Linked DNA regions of Alligator mississippiensis. The protein of the gene in region 3 purifies or fractionates together with the protein of the main gene of each other region. This does not show direct contact. Links are inferred from orthologs where the notes say so. Each region holds a gene or a part of one and is shown on either strand. Other genes may lie near its edges.

Region 1 (7,540 bases), about 190 Mb from region 3:
TTTCTTTCTCTGTCTCTCTTTCAAATTTGGCTTTCCCCCCTCCTCCCTCCCACTTTTTTTTTTTTTTTTAAACACAGTAAAGTTTTGTTCAGTTCTCAAGTGTTATTAATCACTGGTGGAGGCCAAAAGCAGGGATATTTTTCTTGGCAGCACGTTTTGATAAACAATCTGTGTATGGGTTGAAGGGAGGGGGAGGCTGTCTTGCTGGTAACTAAGCTAATGTTTGGCAGATTCTTAACTGTCATGAAAGTGCAAGTGGCTCTCAGTGGGAATAGCCTTAAAAAAAAAGAAAAAAAAAAAAAAAAGAAGTACCGATTCAGTTGATTCATTATTGTTGATTGTTTACTACGTCCCCAGGATGTAAGCTGAATACAGTCAATGAGTAAAATAAAAATAACAACAGTGGCAAACCCAGGCTCACAAGGGGTGCAGTCCAGGGGTATCTAGGCTCTTTCAGAGCAAACAGAAATAATGATGGGTGTCTAATTTTGCACTGTAAGATTTGGCAAATGTGGGCACCTGGAAATCTGGGCCCACAGATTATTTAAAAAAGCCATAAATACAGTTGTATGAAAAGGGAAGCAGGGCTGCTTTCTGGGGAAGAAGTGGAACTTTTGCATGGTTTGGGGGGGAAACCAAGTTACCTATTTTGTACAGTGGGATCACGTAGTTAGTAGCGAAAGGGCCCCAGGAAGACAGACCCCCCTAGCAAGCCGTGCTCTGTGGTGGCAAAGGAGAAACAGCACTGTGAAAAGAAAAGAAAAGAAAAAAAGAAAATTAGCAGTGAAACCTCCTAGAAATAGAGCGCGGGACATAAGCCTCACTTACAAAGTGGTAAGCTCCAGCATGTAGAGAAACCAGTGGCAGGTTTAGAACAGAGAAAGAAAGGAAGGTGCATTCCTAGGCAGGAGGCTGGAAAGAAGGCCTGCAGACAGCAACAAGCCCCCGGAGCTGGAGTATTTTCGAATAGGGCCTGTAATCTGCAGAGAACTGGTAACTGAAACGATAAACAGAAACACGTAATTACACTCTTGCTCTTTGTAACTACGTGTTTTGACACTTCCTGGCAGTTTGCAGCAGAAGACGCTGCTGTTTCACTTTTAATTTGACAAAATTGTGGAAGTCCCTCCCCCAGTATTTGCGATGCCGTTTCAGGAGCACACTCCCCTGCACGCCTCAGCGCTTTCCAGGGTTCACCTCTTCACTGGTTTCAAGCCAGGCACTTGCTTGGGAGCGACTGCGGTTGCCGGTTGCCGCGCTGCGCCAGGGGAGATCTCTGCACTGGCCGGGCTCTGTCACGATTTCTCTTCCTTCCTGTGCCCCCTCCCCGCCCCTGCGTTGCAGCTGGAGCTGCTGCTTTGATCCCGGGGCAGGGCCACGAGAGAGGACAGATCTGATTAACACCCCCTCCCCCTTTCTGAGGTGAGCTCCTCAGGAAGGAAGAGTGTCCTTGTAGCGGCCGGGCTGCTACGTGCGGAGCGAGCCCTTGGCCCGGCCCGATCTGGGAACGGATCCGGGCTACACGTCTCATGGCAATTCCGCTTGGTTCACGGCGTCCTCATGGCTCGTGCCGAAAACCTTGGGGCTGCCGCAGGCAAGGGCTCGGTAGCAATCAGTGCTGCTCTCCCAGGGACCTCAGCCGTCCCCCCAGTGCATTTGCAAGCTGTGGCAGGGGGCTGAGCCCAGGCGAGTGCTTCCTGCCTTGGTAGGACATTGTCCTCCATGCTTGCTGCGTGTGCAGGGTCGGCCGGGTCGTGTGTCCTCTGATCTGTTTGCTTCCCTTGCTCAGATCAGAGCTTCACCTCTCGTCAGTCATGAACCTGGGGACGGGGATCGAGCGAGAGGACCCGTGGGGCCGGAACCTTCCTGCCCGGAACTGGCAGATGCTCGTGTTAGCCAGAGGGACGCCCTGGCCCCGGGGCTGCTGGCAGGTCACTCATCAGGGACCGGGGCCAGGGCCTCCCGATCGCGGCCCCTCGGCTCGGGCCGCGCCCGGCCACCAGCCCCCGCCGCTGGCGCTGCCGGGCTGCGTGTGTGCTGGCACCGGGGCACACACCTGGGAGACTTCCTTGCCTGGGCTCTTGCCTTTCCTCCTGCTTCTCCTCCACACGCGCTTTAATTCCAGGATTATTGCAGAGCTAAAGAAACATCTCTCTGGCTGAGTGGCGGCCCAAGGAGACTCACCCGGCTTCCTGCCGCCCTGCTCCTGGCCGGCGAAAGGACAGCGCGGTGGGAGAGGCGCCCTGCCGCCCTTGAGGGAGATTTTAGCGTTGACTGTTAGGTTGGCATCGTTCACTCTGCTCCCCTCCAGCAGCCCAGATGGGTCCTGCCCGGCCGCTCGGTGCCGCCGCCTCCCAGGCAGGGACCCCCGGGGCCCCGCTTCAAAGCCGGGTTTAATCATCACGGGAAAAGAAATCCCCGCTCCCACCAGCGCATCCTTCCCGGAAGAGGAAAGGCCGCGGAGCCGGCTCACACGTGCTAATCGCCCATCTTTTTCTGTTCCCAGACTAGAAAGGGAGTTGCCAGCACCCGTGAGCGCTTTGCTGAGGCTAGATCTGCTCTCTGGTTATTGTTTCCCTGCGCTGGTCTCGTGAGCCCGGGGCCTGGCCGCTCCTGCGGGGAGCCTGGGGCTTTCCCGCAGTTAGGAGTCAGAGGAGCCAGGGCGAGGGAGCGCCTTGGCATTTGTGGAGTGAAATCCAGCTCCACTCCTCTCGCATCCCCTTCCCAGAGAGCCAGGGCCGGGGGGACCTCTGCTTCCTCGGCTGGCATGATTTAGGCAAAGGGAAGACTTTTTTTTCTCATCGCCCAATTCTGTTGCTTACGTGCAGATCACAGAGCAGGGGGAAGGGGAGAGGGGGTTGCCCTTCAGGTCTGTGTGACAGCGAGCACATCGTGTTCAGACAAGTCCAGTGACATGGAGGGGAAGCCCCGCAGCCTTCCCCAAGCCCCCCGGGGCGCTGCGAGGAGAGGCCGCTCGCCCCCCGCCTCCACCTGCCTCGCTGGACTCCGCTTCAATGAAGCCTTGATATTGTCCGCAGCCTGGGTATGACACTCCTCCATGTGCAAACCATCCCCCGGGAGTTCATCTCCTACAGAAATTGTGCACGCGAGAGACTTAGCTCATCCAAGGACTTTCGGTTTTCCTTTCTACCTCGTTGCCCCATGAGCTGCCCCTTTGGAAAAATGATGGCACCTGGTCAGAGCTGGCTGGATCGGAGCCCGTCCCTTCTGTAGCTTTACGGCCTGCGTTTCAGGTCGCTTTTTCTCTTAAAAAAAGCCGGACATATCATTTCACATCAAGTTTGCCGGCTTTAAGAGCCCTGGACGTGGCCCTGAGAAGCAGCGGGGATTTGAAGGGAATCACGTTATTTGAAGAAACTTGAACAGAGCTGATACCCCGCTGGTCCCTCTTTCACGAGGCACGAAGCACTGCGTTGTTAATACTGTACGTTTTTGTGGAGAGGGGACATGGCGCCATGCCACAGAAATTAGAGCGGCCTTTGCAGGAGAGGGAGAGAAATCAAAAGGCCATTTTTTTTGTTCTCTTCTGCGTTCAATGAAGGCGAGCTGAATGAGGAGCAAAAACAAGAGAGGGGTTATCCGGCGTGACCAGCTGCAGCGTTACAGCTCGGGGAGTGCAGCAATGTTTCCCTGGCGAGGGGGAGTCACCCTGGGAGCGAGCTACATGGTGCGACCAGTGACGCAGGGCCCTGGGCACAGGAGCGCGCCAGGCTCGGGCCGCGGGGGTGGGGGGCCTGGGGCCGGGGCTTGCGGACGCTGCAGCCGCAACCTCCGCCCGGCCACGGCCACGGCCACGGCCACGCTCCAGCGTCACAGCTGCAGCCTCGAAAATAAAGCGCGTTTTCCCCTGCGAGTGCGACGCGTTCACAGCGCATTTGCATGACCTGGAGCGGCTGCTGACCAGCGCAGCCCGAGAAGGAAAACGAAAGCTCGGCGCTGCCCCTGCGTGGGGGGATCCGGCGGCCCTCCCCTGGGGGTCACCAGCCCGGCCGCGCCCAGCCCCGCCCCGCCCCGCCCCGCCCCCTGCGGCTCTGGCAGCCGGGCCCGGCTCATCTGACAGCCAGGAGCGGGCAGCCCCCTGCGGCCGGCACTGCACGAAGTGCGTGTCCTCCTGCGGCCGGGCTGCTCCGCATGTGCTTCCCGGCCGCCTCCTGGCTCGGGAGGAGCTGCCGGGGGGCTGGGAGCGGGAGCGAGTTCGTGTCTGAGTTTCCAAACATAGCCCTCGGTGCGTCTCTCCCGCTGCCTCAGCTGTCGCGCAGCCGGGAGGGAGGAAGCGGGCAGCGGGCCGAGCATGCGCAATTTCCGCGCAACAAGTGGCCTCCGCGTCCGTAGGCAGAGGAAGTGGGGGGAGGGGAGGGAGGCTGGAAAGGGGAACTGCGGCGGGGGGCGGGGCGGAGCGGGCGTGACGCGAGGGCTCCACCCCGGTGGCATCCGCGCCGCGCCGGGCGGGGGGGGCGGGGCCACGCCGGACGCGACACACTCCGGATTCCGAGCGCGAGCCCCGAGCAGCGGCGAGATGTGAGTGCGGAGCAGGCGGCGCCGCTCGCCAGCAGCGCGGAGAGCGGGCCCGGCCCGGGCGGCTCCTCCCGCGGGTCCCCGGGTAAAAGGCGCCGGGTAGAAGGCCGCCCCCCCTCGCCCCCCGCGCGGAGGAGGAGCCGCCGCCGAGAGCCAGAGCGAGAGCGCGCCGGGAAACAGCGGCGAGAAGGCGACCCCAGCCCAGCCCAGCCAGCCCCCCGGCGGAGCGGCGCGGAGCGGGAGCGGGAGCAGGCGACGCTGCCGGCGCCAGGTAGCAAGAGGGCAGCGCTGTCCGGCAGCAGCGGCGAGCCGAGCCCCCGCCGCCAGGGCCCGCGGGAGCCGGCACGGGGAGCGCCGCCGCCCGCGGCACCATGTCGGCCGCGCAGGTGTCGTCGTCGCGGAGACAGTCGTGCTACCTGTGCGACCTGCCCCGCATGCCCTGGGCCATGATCTGGGACTTCACGGAGCCCGTGTGCCGCGGCTGCGTCAACTACGAGGGCGCCGACCGCATCGAGTTCGTCATCGAGACGGCGCGGCAGCTCAAGCGGGCGCACGGCTGCTTCCAGGACGGGCGCTCGCCGGGCCCGCCGCCGCCCGTCGGGGTCAAGGCGGTGCCGCTGTCCGCCAAGGAGGCGGCGGCGGCGGCGGCAGCGGCCCAGCAGCAGCAGCAGCAGCAGCTGAACCACGTGGACGCGTCAGCCAAGGCCGCCTCGGCGGGGCTGGCGCCGGCCGGCCTCGAGCGCTACGGGCTGAGCGCGGCGGCGGAGCCGCGCGGCCGCTTCGAGTACCCGCCGCCGCCGGGCAGCCTGGCCGCCCGCCTGCCCAACGGGCTGGGCGGCCCGAACGGCTTCCCCAAGGCGCCTGAGGACGGGCCGCCCGAGCTGAACCGCCAGAGCCCCAACTCCTCGTCGGCCTCGGCGGCGGCGTCGTCGCGGCGCGGCGCGCACGGCGGACTGGTGGCCGGGCTGCCGCCGGGCGCGGGCGGCGCCGGGCTGAGCGTGCCGCCCAACCTGCTGCCGCAGACGCTGCTGAACGGCCCGGCGGCCGCCGGCGTGGCGCTGCCTCCCCCGCCGCACGGCAGCCTGAGCGGGCGCGGCGGCGGCGGCCCCCCCGCGGCCTCGGGCTCGGCGCCGGCGGGCGCGTGCGGCGCGGGGCCGGGCGGCGCGGGGCCGGGCGGCGGCGGCGGCGGCGGGCCGGGCCCCGGCGCGGCGGGCGACAAGCGGCCCGGCTCGGTGTCCAGCAGCGAGCAGGAGCGCGAGCTGAAGGAGAAGCAGCGCAACGCCGAGGCGCTGGCCGAGCTGGGCGAAAGCCTGCGCAACCGCGCCGAGGAGTGGGCCAGCAAGCCCAAGCTGGTGCGCGACACGCTGCTGACGCTGGCGGGCTGCACGCCCTACGAGGTGCGCTTCAAGAAGGACCACACGCTGCTCGGCCGCGTCTTCGCCTTCGACGCCGTGTCCAAGCCGGGCCTGGACTACGAGCTGAAGCTCTTCATCGAGTACCCCAGCGGCTCGGGCACCGTCTTCTCCAGCGCCTCGGGCGTGGCCAAGCAGATGTACCAGGACTGCATGAAGGACTTCGGGCGCGGCCTGTCCTCGGGCTTCAAGTACCTGGAGTACGAGAAGAAGCACGGCTCCGGCGACTGGCGCCTGCTGGGCGACCTGCTGCCCGAGTCCGTGCGCTTCTTCAAGGAGCTGGTGGGCGCCGACATGCTGCCGCAGCCCTACCTGGACGCCAGCTGCCCCATGCTGCCCACGGCGCTCGTCAGCCTGCCCCGGCCGGCCGGCGGCCCCGCGGCGGGGCAGGGCGCGGCGGCCGGCTCGGCGCGGGGCCCGGGCGGCGGCGGCGGCGGCGGCGGCGGGGGTGGGCTGCGCAAGAGGAAGGCGTCCCCCGAGCCGCCGGACTCGGCCGAGGCGGGGCTGAAGCTGAGCGAGGAGCAGCAGCGGCAGCAGTGGATGGCCAGCCAGAGCGAAGCGCTCAAGCTCACCATGGCGGCGGGCGGCTTCGGCGCCGTGCACGGCGGAGGCCCGCCGCCGCCGCCGCCGCCGCTGGGCCCGCACCCCAACCGGACCACGCCGCCCGAGGCGGCCCCGCAGAACGGGCAGTCGCCCATGGCGGCGCTCATGTCCGTGGCCGACACGCTGGGCACGGCGCACTCGCCCAAGGACGGCAGCTCCGTGCACTCCACCACGGCCGGCCGCCGGAACAGCAGCAGCCCCGTGTCCCCCGCCTCGGTGCCCGGCCAGCGCCGCCTGGCCTCGCGCAACGGCGACATGAACCTGCAGGTGGCCCCCCCTCCCCCTAGCGCCCACCCTGGCATGGACCCCGTGCACCCCCAAAACATTCCCGACTCGCCCATGGCCAACAGCGGCCCCCTCTGCTGCACCATCTGCCACGAACGCTTGGAGGACACGCACTTCGTGCAGTGCCCGTCCGTGCCCAGCCACAAGTTCTGCTTCCCCTGCTCCCGAGAGAGCATCAAGGCCCAGGGGGCCACGGGCGAGGTCTACTGCCCCAGCGGAGAGAAATGCCCCCTTGTCGGTTCCAACGTGCCTTGGGCGTTTATGCAGGGCGAGATCGCCACCATTTTAGCCGGGGACGTGAAAGTGAAAAAGGAGAGAGACCCTTGAACTAGGCCGCCCAGCCCCTCCCTCCAGGCTCCTGAACCTGTAGAATTGTGAATATAACGGACTGCAACAAAGTTAGTCTGATGTATAGACATTATTTTCGTCGTACGTTTCTATATTTTGAAACAAAGGTATGTACTCTTCTTCATTTGAAGGATAGAGCTGGTTTTTGTTAAACAGAATATAATATTGTTTGGTTACTCCATAAGCCCTGGTCTCATTTCTTTGGCAGTGTGTTGGCTAGGTACACAGTTAATAGCCCTTAGCGATTACCTGCTGCTGGTGTGTATTTTTGTAAATGTATGCACTTCTCTGACAGAAGAAGAAGAAGAAAAAAGAAAAAAATACAACTTTTTTTTTTTGCCAAGGCCAGTGTTGAC
Region 2 (7,318 bases), on a different chromosome or scaffold from region 3:
GGCTGCAGCCTGCCAGGGGAGGGGTGCCCCCAGCTGGGCTTGGCCTCCCCACAACCCAGGCCCCTCCCCTCCAGGCAGATACGCCCCCCGCCCCCGCAAATGACATGACCAGCCAGGAGTCAGCGGTAACCAAAGCCAAACAGAAGTAGAAGTTTATTGACAAAAACCAAGAGAAACACAAATGGAGAAGACCCCCCACCCCCATTATAGCCCCCAGAGCGTATTGTGCGCCCCCCCCCCCCAGCCCTGGCATCATGAGGCTGTCCCCCCACCCTGGCTCTGCCCCCCCTGCCTGGGGCCCTTGGTTCAGAGACCAGCCCCCCCCACAGGCCTGAGTCCCATCATGGGAGCTGTGATGCCCCCCCCCAATTCCAGCTGCCCCCCCATGGGATTGGGGGGGGGGCACAGGTCCACAAGGACTCTTCAAGAGGCCACATCCAGCTCAGCCCCCCCTCCCCCCCTACACACACACGGTAACAGGGGGCTGGTCTGCTACCCTATGGCCCTGGAGGAGGTTTGCAACCCCCCACCCCCAAGTCCCCCACGGAGGGCTCCCCCACCCCCCCAGCCAGGCCGAGAGAAACTGAAGCAGGGTGGGTCTAAGCCCTGCCGCCCAGCTCCACCCACTAGGCCACACTCCGCCAATCAGAGCTGGGAGAGACCCCCCAGCCCCTCGGGTGCCCACCATAGCGATAGCGGGTCTGACACCTGCCCCCCAGGAGTCCTGGCTCCCACCTGCTCTGGAGGACTGAGGGGGCACGAGTCAGGAGGGAGGGGCTCCAGATGCCCCAACTGAGCCACTACCCTGTGCCTGCCCCCAGCTCCCGTTTTCTACCCACCTCTGTACCCTGGGGGGGGCACAGGGAGCCTCCCCATCTGGCGGGCTGCATCCGGGGCCCCCACATCACTCCCCTGCATCCCCGCCCTGGTGGCTTGACATGAGTTCATCCATTCTCAGCCACGATGCCCCCTCCCATTGCCCCCCCATCGCCCCCCCCGCATCAAGCTGCTACGAAGCAAGCCCCCCCACCCCTGGTTATGCTGATATGGCCTTCGATATAAGATTGCTATGGGAATATTAAAAAATAAACTATGTACAGGGCCCCGGCCGGGGACAAAGGCAATAAGTTAGCGGTGCCAGTCCCTCCGGCCCCCCCGGCGCAGGCAGCACGCGGGCTCCCCCTGCCACAGCCCGGCGGCGCTCAGGGGTCCCGCTCCTTCTTGACACGGACGTCGCCGGCCAGGATGGTGGCGATCTCACCCTGCATGAAGGCCCAGGGCACGCTGGAGCCCACCAAGGGGCACTTCTCGCCGCTGGGGCAATACACCTCGCCTGCCGCGCCCTGCGCCTTGATGAAGTCGCGGGAGCAGGGGAAGCAGAACTTGTGGCCAGGCACCGAGGGGCACTGCACAAAGTGGGTGTCCTCCAGGCGCTCGTGGCAGATGGTGCAGCACAGCGGGGCGCTGGGGGGGCCCCCGGACGAGTCGGGGGTGCTGCCGCTGGGCTCGGGGCCGCCGGAGGAGTGTGCCGCCGAGGAGGAGGAGGAGGAGGAGGGGGCCACGGCCGTGGCGGCGTCACCGCTGCGGGGCACCAGGCGGTGGGGGCCGGTGGCGGCAGGCGAGGCGGGGCTGGCGCTGCTCTGGCGCGTGGTGGAGTGCACCGGGTTGGCCTCCTTGGGCGACTGGCCGGCGCCCAGCGCATCCGCCACGTTCTTGAGCGCGGCGATGGGCGAGGGCTCGTTGCGTGGCGCCGCCTCGTAGGCCCAGTGCTGCCGCTGCTGCTGCTCCTCGCCCGTCAGCTTCCCGTTGCCGCCGCCCTCGTCCGGCTCCGGGGACGCCTTGCGGCGCCGCAGCAGGGCCCTCGGCGGCACGGCCCGCAGCAGCGCGCCGGGCAGCACGGCGCAGGCCCCGTCCAGGTGCTGCTGGGGCAGGGCCTCGGGCGCCGGCGCGTCCCGGAAGAAGCGCACGCCCTCGGTGAAGAGCTCGCCCAGCAGGCGCCAGTCGCCCGAGCCGTGGCGCTTCTCGTACTCCAGGTACTTGTAGCCCGAGGAGATGACCTTGCCGGGGTCCTTGACGCAGTCCTGGAACATCTGCTTGGCCAGCCCCAGCGCGCCGGCGTAGACGCTGCCCGAGCCGCACGGGTACTCGGTGAAGAGCTTGAGCTCGAACTCGTAGCCGGGGCGCGGGCTGGCGTCGAAGGCGAAGACGCGCCCCACCAGCGCGTGGTCCTTCTTGAAGCGCACGTTGAAGGGCGCGCAGCCCACCAGCGCCGCCAGCTGCTCCCGCACCGCCTTGGGCTTGCCCAGCCAGTCCTCGGCGCGGCCCCGCATGGCCTCGCTCAGCTCGGCCAGGCACTCGGCGTTGCGCTGCCGCTCGCGCTCCTTGGCCTCCAGCCCCGCGCGCCCGCCCAGCCCCGCCACGGCCGCCAGCAGCCCCGCCGGCGCGCCCAGCAGCCCCAGCCCGGGCCCGGGCCCCGCGCCCAGCAGCGCGCGCCGCGCCGTCGGGCTGCCGCGCTCCTCCTCGGCCCGCGCCAGCCCGTTGGGCAGCCGCGCCAGCCCGAAGCGCTCCGCCTCCTTGGGCGGCTTGGGCGCCGGCGGCCCCGGCGAGCGCCCGTCCGGCAGCGCCTGCGAGCGCCGCAGCTGCCGCGCGGCCTCCAGCAGCGGCTCCACGCGGTCCGCGCCCTCGAAGTTGACGCAGCCGCGGCACACCGGCTCGCTGAAGTCCCACAGCATCGCCCACGGCATCTTGGGCAGGTCGCACAGGTAGCACCACTGCCGCCGCGCCGCGCCCGGCCCCGCCAGCGCCAGCGCCACCGGCCCCGGCCCGGGCCCCGCCACCGGCAGCGCCATCATCGCCCGGCCCCGCCGGACCGCCGCCGCCGCCGCCCGCCCGCCGCGCCGCCCCGTTACATAACCGCGCGCGGCGCGCCGGGACATGTAGTCCGCGCCTTAAAGGGGCCCGCGCCGCGCCGCGCCGCGCCGCGCCGAGCACTGCGCGCTCCGCGGGGGACCCCGGCGTCCTGCCCCCCCCGCTCCGGACCCGTGCACCAGCGCCCGGAGCTGCGGATGGAGCCCAGCGACCCCCCATAACCACTAGCTCGCACTCCCCCCTGCCAGGGGTCCGACCCCCCAACCACTAGCCCCCACTCCCCCCTGCCAGGGCTCTGAACCCCCAAACCACTAGCCCCCACTCCCCCCTGCCAGGCGTCCGACCTCCCCAACCATTAGCCCCCACTCCCCCCCCTGCCAAGGGTCTGAACTCCCCAACCACTAGCCCCCACTCCCCCCCCGCCAGGCGTCTGCCTCCTCCACCCAAACACTAGCCCCCACTACCCCCCCTCCCCTGCCAGGCGTCTGACCCCTCCACCCAAACCACTAGCCCCCACTACCCCCCCTTCCCTGCCAGGAGTCTGCCCCCTCTACCCCAACCACTAGCCCCCACTTCCCTCCCCTGCCAGGCATCTGCCCCCTCCACCCAAACACTAGCCCCCACTACCCCCCTTCCCTGCCAGGCATCTGACCCCTCCACCCTAACCACTAGCTCCCACTTCCCTCCCCTGCCAGGCGTCTGCCCCCTCCACCCTAACCACTAGCCCCCACTACCCCCCTCCCCTGCCAGGCATCTGCCCCCTCCACCCAAACACTAGCCCCCACTACCCCCCTTCCCTGCCAGGAGTCTGCCCCCTCCACCCTAACCACTAGCCCCCACTTCCCTCCCCTGCCAGGCATCTGCCCCCTCCACCCAAACACTAGCCCCCACTACCCCCCCTCCCCTGCCAGGCGTCTGACCCCTCCACCCTAACCACTAGCCCCCACTACCCCCCCTCCCCTGCCAGGATCCAACCCCCCCCTAACCGCTAGCCCGCACTCCCCCTCCCCTCCCCTGCCAGGCGTCCGATCGCAGCCACTAGCGGGCAGAGAACCCAGGCGTCCGGGCCGGGCCGGCGGGGGGAGCAGGACAGAGACCTCCCCCGTGGGAGGGGTGCGGCAGCGAAGGGGTTAAGCCGGCGCACTACAACTCCCGGCATGCCCCGCGCTGTGCGCGCACTTCCCCTTCCCGCTACTCCTTCCGCTTTCTCCCCCCCCCTCCCCGCGCTGGCTGTGCTGCGTCACGTGGTTTCGCTTGCCGCCCCGCCCCCCTGCCGCGGATCGCGCGCGGTCCGAGCGCCGCCAAGTTCCCTCCCGCCAGCTCGCGGCTGCGGCCTTGCGTCTGGGGGCGGGGCCAGGCCAGGGGCGGGGTTCTGCGTGTGGCTGAATGTGGGGGTTGGGGCGAGGGGACACGCGTGGGGGGAGGCAGCGGGGTGGGGGGCCGGATGGACGTGACCCGTGGGTACATTTCAGAGCACACAACACCGCCCCGTTCCCGGGCAGGCCCCCAATCCAGGACTGCACCCCCCTCGCCAGCCGGCCCCTGGGCTGAGGCCAGCACTGCCTCCCCGCCCGCTGCTGCTTAATGCCCAGCCCCGAGGGGGGGTCCCTGCACCCCGCGTGCGGCCGCCGGGCTCCCCGGGGGGAGCGGGTCCGTGCCCAGCCTCCCCGCCTCGCAAGGGTTAACCCGGGCCGGGCTGCAGTCCCCGCGGCAGCCAGCAGGCGGCGGCCGAGCCCTGCGCGGGGGGGCCGCGGGGGCGACCTGCTCTAACCACTAGCCTCAGCTCCCAGCGCTGTGCTGGGGAGCCCGGAGTCCTGCTCCCCCCTTGCACCGTCTGGCCGACATTTCCCCTGTGACATCACAATAGGACCCAGGTGTCCGGGGGCAGTGACCCCCCCGTGGAGGTGGGGCTGGGGGGGCCCTGGGCACCGACCCCTTGCAGGGGGCGCAGGCCTCAGCCCCCCTCCCCCCGTACACCGGGGTGGACGGACATCCCGTGCTGGGCAGGGGGTACGGGCCCCCCCGCGGGGCAGGGCTGGGGGACCCCGGCGTCCCGGCAGACAAAGGGGGGGCGGGGCGCGGGGCCCAGATGTGCGGCCGCGGACAATGGGCGGCGGGAAGGGACAGATGGGGCGGCCGCACAATGGAGCCGCGCGCCGCTCGCCCCCCCCAAAGGGGCCATCTGCTCCCCCCCCTCCTTCCCCCCCCCCCGCGGGGCCCAGGCCGGAGCCTGGCGGGGCCGATCTGCGCTTCCAGGGCCTGGGCCTGCCCCAGGCCTTTCTGGGGGGCTGGAATCCCGTGCCCTGCAGGGCCCGGGGTGCCCAGACGGGGTCCCAGGGCCGGGTCTGGCGTCCAGGGCAGGCAGGCAGATGTGGCATCTGCGCCAAGGCCCCTGGGCAGGTCCAGGCTCCTGGGTCTTCCCGGGCCTGGCCCTGATTCCTGCACCATGGCCTGGAGAGACCCCAGGTGTCCAGCCCCCCTCCCCACTGACCTCTGCCCCCAACTGCCCTCTCTGAGTCGGGGAAAGAGCCCCAGCATCCTGATCTGCCACTGCCTGCTCCAGCTCCCTGCCCACCCCCAGCCCCCCATGGCGGGACAGAACCCAGGCACCCTGGCCTGGGGAGCACAGGGGTGGTCTGAGCCACTGCCCCCCCAGCCCTGTCCATCTGTCCAGCCTCAGGACTCCTCCTCCCACGCCAGGAAGCCGAGCCGAGGCCACGTTTCCTCCCTGTGGCTGCTTTCCGCCTCGTGCGGGGGCGGGGGGGGGGCGCTGTGGCTGTGTTGGGTGCCACAGGCCTAGGTTGCCCCCCCCCCGCTTCTCCGCACTGGAGAAACTGAGGCACAAAGGGGAAGGGCAGTTCTGCAAGTCCCTGGCCTGCCAGTGTGTGGGGGGAAGGGTCTGGAGGGTGGAGTCTTAGCCCCCCCCACACCAGGACCCTGGGACCCCTAGCTAGCAGGCTGGCCCCAAGGGGTGCAGACCCCAGAGTGGAGCTTTTGACCCCACCATTGCCCAAAAGAGGGTCCAGGTGCTGGGTTCCCTCCCTTGGCTCTAGATGAGAGGGGGCTGGGGGGTAAGAGCGAGGGGCTTCCGGGGCAGTTGGGTGCTGCCCCCCAGGGTCCTCCCACCCCCTCCCAGGGGCGCTCTCACCCCTCCCCACGTGCCCTGTGCTCCCTCTCCCTGGTGCTCTCATTTCCTCTTGAGCTCAAGGTGAATCGGAGCACTCGGGACGGATGGACGGAGCCCCAGGGCGGACATGGGGTGAGCACGTGTGGGGGTGGGGGGCAGGTAGATGGATAGGTAGGGGTGAAGGGAGGGATGGATAGACGATGGACGAATGGATGGAGAGATGAATGGATGAATGCTGGATGGACAGGTGGGTGGATAGATGGATTGATGGATGGATGATGGATCAATAGATCAATAGGTGGATGGATGGATAGATATGGGAGATGGATAGGCGATGGACAGATAGCAAGAGTGGTGGATAGATGCTGGATGGATGGATGGACAAATGACAGGTCAATACATAGGGATAGATGGATAGGCGATGGATAGAGAGCAAGATGGATGCTGGATGGATAGCTGGGTAAATAGATATATGGGTAGTAGATGGATTGATGGATGCTATATGGAGAGAGAGATAATGGATGGGTGGAGTGGGATGGATAGATAGCAAGATGGGTGGATGAATGGATAGGTAGAGAGATGCTGGGGATAGATACATGAATGGATAGATGGGTGGATGGATAAGTGATAGGTGAATAGACAGACGGATGGACAGATAGCAAGATGGCTAGATGGATGCTGGATGGGTGGATAATGATAGGTGGATAGATGGATTGATCAATGGATGATAGATGGTGGATAGATGGAGGGATAAGGATAGGTCAATAGACAGATGGAGAGGTTGTAGATGGGTGGATGGATAGATATGTGGATAGACAGCAAGATGCATAGATGGAAGGGTGCTGGATGGACATATTTCATAGATGTCATAGACATTAGGGCTGGAAGGGACCCGGGAAGATCATCGAGTCCAGCCCCCTGCCCAAAGGGCAGGAAGTCAGCTGGGGTCATAGGATCCCAGCAAGATGAGCATCCAGTTTCATCTTGAAGGTGTTCAATGAAGGCGCTTGAACGACCTCCGGTGGCAGGCTGTTCCAGACCTTGGGGGCTCGGACAGGAAAAATTCTTCCTTATGTCCAGCCTGAAACGATCTTGTAGTAGTTTGTGACCATTCGACCTCATCATCCCTTGGGGCGCTCTGGTGAACAAACGTTCCCCCAGATCCTGGTGGTCACCCCTGATAAACTAGTAGGTGGCCATCAGATCACTTGCAGATAAGTAGATGTTAGGTGGATACATTGGATGGATGATGGATGGATAGATGGATAGATAACAATAGGTCAATAGACAAATGGATAGATAGGTGGATAGATTGATAGAGAG
Region 3 (7,249 bases):
GGGTCCCATGCCAGGGCCAGGAGTGGCAGGAGCATGGAGCCTGGACTTGGAGGAGCACTGGCAGGGGCTCTGCCTGCCATGGGGGGGGTGGGCAAACCCTCCCCCTCCACACATGCCACAACTCTCCCCAGCCACTCTCCCCCCCACATACTCACAGTCTCCCATAAACCCCATACTCACCCACACCCATGTTCTCCCACCCCACATACACATACACACCTATCCACCCCCACAAGCTCCACACCCACACCTTCCCCCACACTCCACATACCCACACATCCACAGTCCCCCACAAACCTATACCCATGCATCCATACCCCCACATGTCCCCCATGTGTAAGATTTCCTTTTTAGCTATTATACAATCACCTCTATGCACACTATACAAACACAAACACAGGTAAATCAAGACAAAAATGTTTTTTGAAATCACATTAATGAATGTCATAGCAGATATTTGATTTTTTAGAATATAATTTGGTATTTTTCTGGTTCCGAGATGGCAACCCCCCCTTGCATGCTTCTGGGGGGCAAGAGGACAGACTTCTGGTGGCAAAGGTCAGGGGTTAGGGGGCAGGACTTCCAGTCCCAAGATGGCAACCAGGGGGTGGGGCACCTGTCAAGGGGTGGGGCTAACCTTGTGGCCCTCAACAGCTTGCCAAAACTCAGTAAGCGGCCCTCCGCCCAAAATAATTGCCCGCTCCTGCTTTACCGTCTGCCATATAAAATGATCACAGCATTAATATTGGCTCCTACTAAATCCTGTGATTTTTTGATGAATGCTGTCATTGTAGCAACACCGAAAGTATATGGTTTAAAGTTTTGCTCTCTCTGTGGTCTCTGAAACTAGTATTTGTTACTGTTAAATATATATTATAACATTAAGTGAAATTTAGACACTGCAGAATCGCAGGTGGTTGTGAGCATTATTGAGAGGATATGTTTGTACTACAATCTAGAGATTTGATGCAACTTGTATAGTGCCAGCTTCAGACCAAATAGCTTGGGCACTAGTAATAGCAGCATGGACATTAGTGCAGGCCGCATGAATCTCCCAAATGCTTGTAGTCTGTACTGCTATAGCTAGATTGCTACCGCTAGTTGATTATAGGCTAGTTTGGAGAAATCCACATGAGCTGTCATTACACCTTTGGACTGTAGCTAAAACATACTGATAAGAGAAATGTTTTGTATTCAGCACTGACTGAAGGCCCAGTCCCAATCACAGTGGAGTCAATCAGACCTTTTAGCAGATGTTACAATGAGTCAGATGAGGCCCCAGAAAATGTAAAGTAGCAAAATTCAGGAAATTTGACAGTTTTGTCAGGGAATGTTTCAGTTGTACCAGGGGACTCTACAGTTTTGTTTGTGTGGCTATGATATTTCTTTCTAGATTAATTGTCCTTCCTTTGCTCATTCTTCTGCTTCTTAAATGTTTTAAGTACTTTTAATATGTACTGCACCATATTGCACTGGTGATTTCTGCCAGCAGGAGCCTTCTAAATGCACTATGTGGTTTCCAGATTTTTTATTATGTTCCTTTCTCTGAAGCACTGGATACTGGCCATGAATGACTAGTGATAGGAAATTGGTCTCGGTATGCTTGTGATAGTAGTAATACTTTATTTACAGCTTTCATTGGAACAATACAATAGAATTAACAGTAAAATAACATATATAATAATAAAATGTCATAAAAGCATACAATTATGTTACACATTCTACTAATTTAAACAAAAGTGACATAGAGCATAATATATGATGATACAAAAAATAGATAAATAAAGCAGTAGTAAAAATGAAAAGCAGGGAATTCTATTTGATTTTGGCCCTTATTTTTTGTTCAAGTAGGGCAAATATGCCAATGGAGTATATGATAGACTGTAAGTTGTTAGAGAGGAGCCAAACTGTCTTTTCTTCATTAGCCCAGTACTTAAAATTTTCCACTATGCCCATGTATGCTTGCTTATGTTCCTACTGGTACTGAGGAAACGGCTCATATGCCTGGCTGTTGGGCCTTGCTCATGCACTTAGGATGGAATTTTCCTCCAGTCTGTTTGGCACCGACCCCTGGAACATTTTTGTTTTCCCCTGTAGGAGTGTATTTTACCTAACAAATTCCCTACTGGAGTAGGAGCCAAAGTACTGCAGTCCTCGTTTCTCCTGCTCTTTTCCTGTGCTGTGTTGTAAGCATTCTTTGATTGTTTTCACTTTCTTTCTGGCTGTGGTATATGGAAGAAGCTGGACTTCTTGTGGACCATTTAGACAAACATTTATTACATGCATGTCTGCAATCCCAAAAAGTCCTTTCTGTGCTCCTAAAATGAAAGGTGAAAGAGAAACAAATATTCTAAAATAGTTTGGTTCATGTTTTCTTCAGGTGGACCAAGATGTGTTTTACTTTAATTAATATCACTGACAACCATTGCCTCTCTGTAGAAAAAACCCCAGATTCTCTTTGAGGTAAAATATAATTAAATAGAACAATATTACAGAAAGCTTGTATGTCAGCAAATTATGAGAAAAAAAATCTAAAATCTTTTAAAGATAGCTTATTCAGTAAGCAAATTGTGAGCATACATTGTCACCAAACATTTCATAAATATATTGGACAAGTTTCATGCAACCATTCATAGTTTTGCTCTTTTGTTATTAAAATTTAGGACAAGGTGGGTTAAGTAAAAAATAGTAGGTGATTTAAAAAAATCAAAGTGACTTGTCACCTGTGAAAAGTCAGGGTTGTGTAAATTTTTGTAGAATAAATATTTTCTTTGGATTTCCACTCACCCTGAGAATGTGAGTTCATATTTTCAAGAAATACATATTATCTTAACTAGTTCATGCTTGAAAATCTAGCTATGGCTTTTCAGACCACATCACAATCTTTTAAAATATCAACATTTGCAATATACCCGTGTGAGGGGTAAATACTATCATCCCCACTTTACAGAGGGGATATAGAGGCACTAAGAAACTAAATCAATTTCTGTGGGAGTGTGGTATCTAAATGTCTTTGTGGGCATTGACCCAAGTGACTTGCTGAGAGTCATACAGGAAATCTGACAGAGAAAAGATCCAAACCCTGTTTTTCTGATCCCCAGGATAACTCCCTAAGCCCTAGTCTTTGGAGACAACATAGTGCAGAGATGCCTTGCAGAGATCTAAAGGACAATTCTAACACAATTGGAACATTGATTTGTGTGGCACTAGGCATCTGGCTGGAAATGTACATTATTTTATCAATAAGTGAAGCTTAAAATTGCAAAGAGGGGTTGAAAATTTAACTAAAAATGTTCAGGCACACCAGTCAAGCTGCACATAAAAAAGCAATCTGTAAGGAAACTGGCAGCATATGCTGAGCATCTGGTGCATCTCCACATATTCATAATATCTGATACCCTGGGATGGAAGGAATTAGGATGCAGTGACAGCAGAGACTTGCATTATGCTTTCCCAGTCTACAGAAATTGGGAATCGGTTCTAACTCCAAACAAGCTCTTGGGCTGGGCTTTCTTTTAGGCCAATGTCTGATACCTTTTGGAGGCTGGGCTGGGTTTGTTTTCCACACCTTTTAAACGAAGAGGTTGAGTGTGCATATATTTTGGAGGGTGAGGCTGTGGAACAGGCTGCCCAGGGAATCTCCTTTCCTGGAGGTTTTCAAGAGGAGGCTGAATAGGGATTTGACAGCGGTGCTTTAGCACTAGCAGAAGGCTGTCATGTTATGCACTGCCTAAATCCGAGAGAGGTGCAGAAGCTTTCCTAAAGAGACTGTCTAAATCAGAGATGCATAAGCTTTCCAAAGCAGTGGCTTGCTTCACCAGACCCTGTGCCAGTTATGTATGTGCGCGGGGGGGCTGGACCTTGATCCCTGAGGTCCCTTCCAACCCTAGGCTTCCCTGGGAGGCTGTTGACACATCCTCGAGACATGGAGATTGGGACACTTAAAAAAAGCAAAACCGCAGAACCAGGCGTTCTTTGTCAGAGGATTAGAGAAGGAAAAAGAAAATAAAAAGGAGGAAAAAAGAGGCCAGGCTGTGGTCCAGCAGCTCCTCTGGTTTCTCTTGCCCTGGAACTGAAACCTCGCAGCCTGCCTGTGTGCGTCTCTGCCTCTCGCACACGGACACGCCGCTGCGGCTGCTGGAGGGAAGTGAAAATGAAATCGACTTTTCCGAGAAATGATGAAAGCGGCTCCGCCTGCCAATGAAAGGCTGCGGCAAACTTCCGCACCCCTTCCTCCGCCCCTCGCCCGCACAAACAGCCGGGAGGGGAGGGAAAGGGGGGGATTTCCAAGCCGCCGCTCCTCGCAGTTTCCTCTCCTTGTTTTGCTTTCGATCTGGCCCTTTCTCAGCCCAAGCGGCGAGGCAGGAACTTTTAGTTTTGCTCCTGCGATTATTCAGCGGGCGGTTTTCATTTCCACTTCGCCTCCCCTGGCAACGGCGGCACCTGGAGGGAACATTTAAATCCCGGCGCGCCGAGGTAATGTATTTTTTAAAAACCCGAACAAACAACAGCAAAGCCCGAGCAGAGCCCGGGCCCGGGGGGGAGGGGGGCACGGGGCCGCTGTCTCCCCTCCGCCCCCACAAACGCCAGGGCGCGGCGCGGGGGCAGCGCGGGCCGGGCCGGGCCGGGGGGGACGCGGCGGTGCCGCAGCGTGGGGGGGAGGCTGTGGCGCTGAGGCCGCCGCCTCCCGCCCTCCGGCCCGCCCGCCTGGCCTCCCCCCGCGGCGGCGGCCTAGCGGCGGCGGCGACAACCGGCCTGACTGCCTGCGCCCGGGCGGGGCCCGCTGTGTGGAGGGGGCTCCGTGACGCGAGCCCCGGCGCGCTCAGCCCCGCGGCCCGGAGACCAGGCCTGCCCGGGGCGCGGCCGGGTGCTCGGCCTTGCCCGCCGGGCCGGGCCGGGGCGGAGCCCCCTGGACACGGGCCCCTGCGGCGGGGCCGCCTCCGGCCTGCCTGCGACGGGGGCCAGGGCCAGGGCCGCGGGCACCAGCGCCGGGGGGCACTGCCTTCGCCTGCGAGCCCGGGGGAGAGGTGTGTGTGACCCCACCTCTCGTGTGTGTGTGTGTGTGTGTGTGTGTGAGACACACCACCTCTGTGTGAGCGTGTGTGAATCCGTGTGTGAGCCTGTGCACTTGTGCATGTGTGAGTTGTGAACCCATGTATGTCTGAGCCTGTGTGCGCGCGAGTGATCCCACCCCCCTTCCGGTCTGGAGCCAGCGAGCCTTGCCGTGCGGCGGCTGAGATGACCTTGTTTACATCCATGATTCTCACCCAGGGAGCCACATTCCCCCCTGGGGGATGCTGCACGGTGCAAGCCCTGTGAGGTGCATGCCCCAGATTCGCCCCATAAACACAAGAGGCGAGGACTTCCTAGGGCAGCATCCCTTATTGCACCAACTAGGATAGTGAGAGAAGCTTTCTAGTGTAAGACATCATGGCTCCAATGTCGCTCCTCATGGCTTCAATGTGGCTCTTATGACACCATCACCAGATAAACCCAGAGATGTTCATATAGGAGCCAGGAGTGTTAAAAGTATCCTGGCCTGTTGTGGTCTTTCTGAGTCTCTGCAACAGAAGAACATCTCTGTTAGTCTTCTGTAGTCAGAAATTGAGTGAAAGCTAAGAGCTGAGGTTGTCAGAGGGCTGCCTTGAGGCTGTCGAAGGGTGCTTTGAGTCTAGAAAGGGCAAGAATGACTGGTTTAGACCCTCAGAGGTATTTAGGTGCTGTTACCCTATGGTGCTTGAAACAGTTGTGGCAGATAGTTGGACCTTCAGTGCTGCCTGACAACATGTTTATAGAAGCAGTTCTAGAAATAAGATTTGTTTTACAGTGAGTGCTTTAGGATTGTGGCATAGATGGAGCAGTGATATACAGTCTCATGCTACTGAAGAAAAATGTCCTCCTGTGCAGCCTTCGACAACAGCCGATTAGCAGTCCAGTCCTGCACACCTCTAATACCTGCCCAGAGCCGTGACATCAGCAGGCACAATTTTACCTTCATGGATCCAGTTGCAGGCCTGGAGCTATAATGCATATTTTTATTTTTTTAAATCATTGCACCACTTGAACCTTGGTTTTTCAACTGGCATTGACATTTGAACTGTTCTTTACATGTGATGTTACAGGATCTGCTTTTTCCTTTCTGGTGCATACAGTGTTAATCCACACTCTGGATGGTAGTGTTAATCCACACTCTGGATGATCTTGTTCAGGGTCTGCTTTGTTAATGCTGTGTAGATGTACACCATCAGGGCAAGTGGCTGGTCCTGAACATTTTCACCCCCCCAAATTGTTTGTGAATGAAGTAGGAATTATAGCTGTGTGTAAATCCAGGCTCAAGTACCAAGGGCCTCTCTGCCCCCCTCACCCCATGAATACCGGGCACTTTGAATCCCTAGTGAAAGCAGTGAGTGTGAAGTTGCTCAGCATGCCAAAATTGGATCCTGAGGCCTGGATCCTCAGTGATATTTAGGAGCTTAAATTCCTTTGAAATTAGCTGGTGTTATGTACCTAGATAGCTTTGAGAATCTGTTCCTGAGTTGGTTTATTTTACCTTAGATGCTTTAATTTCTTTTACACAAGATTTCTGATATGTAAAATACATATATCATTATATTTAATAATATTGCATCTGAAATGAAATCCTACATTTTCACAGGGAGACAGCATTGTCAGTGACATGAATAATTCAATGAAAACACATTTGGTCTGTCTGAAGAAAACCGCAGACCAAGCTGTTCTAGTGCATTTATTCCTCTTTCCATATTTAATATTGAGAACATAGGACTAGAAGGGACCTCCAGAGTCCTGGAGTCAAGTCCCCTGTGATCCATTTGCAGTCACTCAGATAGAAGAGGCTTATTGATTTCAGGGTCAGAGTCTACCGCTTTCCTCCTGTTTAGTGAACACTTATAATTGTTAATGGTTATAAGTCTACTGGGTCAAAATTTTTATACTGCATTTTCTTGAACATAGTAAAAAATTTAAGCTAGATTAAATATTGTATGTTTGAGTTTAGTAAAAAAATATTTAAAATAAATCTCTCTAAGTTCTACATAGAATCCCTTTGGCAGAAAGTGAGCTAGTACTATAAGAAGAGAATTGACCACAGCAGAAACATTTAAATTTACCATAGCAGGAAAATGGTGATATGGTTATAAAAGTCACACATTTTACCTATAAAACAAATTATTTCTCTCTGAATCTGAATTTTTTCTATGCCTTGAAACATGGATAAGATTTCACTGTCCCT

Evidence for each region.
Region 1: the proteins of IRF2 (region 3) and IRF2BPL purify together in Homo sapiens (affinity purification with mass spectrometry; 3 studies listed by BioGRID and IntAct, counting the BioPlex papers as one, with this or other methods). This does not show direct contact. The link is inferred for Alligator mississippiensis from reciprocal best matches to the Homo sapiens genes IRF2 and IRF2BPL.
Region 2: the proteins of IRF2 (region 3) and IRF2BP1 purify together in Homo sapiens (affinity purification with mass spectrometry; 4 studies listed by BioGRID and IntAct, counting the BioPlex papers as one, with this or other methods). This does not show direct contact. The link is inferred for Alligator mississippiensis from reciprocal best matches to the Homo sapiens genes IRF2 and IRF2BP1.

Annotation. Positions count from the first base shown.
Region 1 is NC_081825.1:262,647,312-262,654,851, reverse strand, and holds the start of IRF2BPL (probable E3 ubiquitin-protein ligase IRF2BPL), read left to right. Parts: upstream 1-4,524; 5' UTR 4,525-4,907; coding exon 4,908-7,163; 3' UTR 7,164-7,540. UniProt on the Homo sapiens protein: Probable E3 ubiquitin protein ligase involved in the proteasome-mediated ubiquitin-dependent degradation of target proteins. Through the degradation of CTNNB1, functions downstream of FOXF2 to negatively regulate the Wnt signaling pathway.
Region 2 is NC_081838.1:466,322-473,639, forward strand, and holds IRF2BP1 (interferon regulatory factor 2-binding protein 1), read right to left. Parts: upstream 3,017-7,318; 5' UTR 2,937-3,016; coding exon 1,203-2,936; 3' UTR 359-1,202; downstream 1-358. UniProt on the Homo sapiens protein: Acts as a transcriptional corepressor in a IRF2-dependent manner; this repression is not mediated by histone deacetylase activities. May act as an E3 ligase towards JDP2, enhancing its polyubiquitination. Represses ATF2-dependent transcriptional activation.
Region 3 is NC_081825.1:71,102,077-71,109,325, forward strand, and holds the start of IRF2 (interferon regulatory factor 2), read left to right. Parts: upstream 1-4,248; 5' UTR 4,249-4,476; intron 4,477-7,249. UniProt on the Homo sapiens protein: Specifically binds to the upstream regulatory region of type I IFN and IFN-inducible MHC class I genes (the interferon consensus sequence (ICS)) and represses those genes. Also acts as an activator for several genes including H4 and IL7.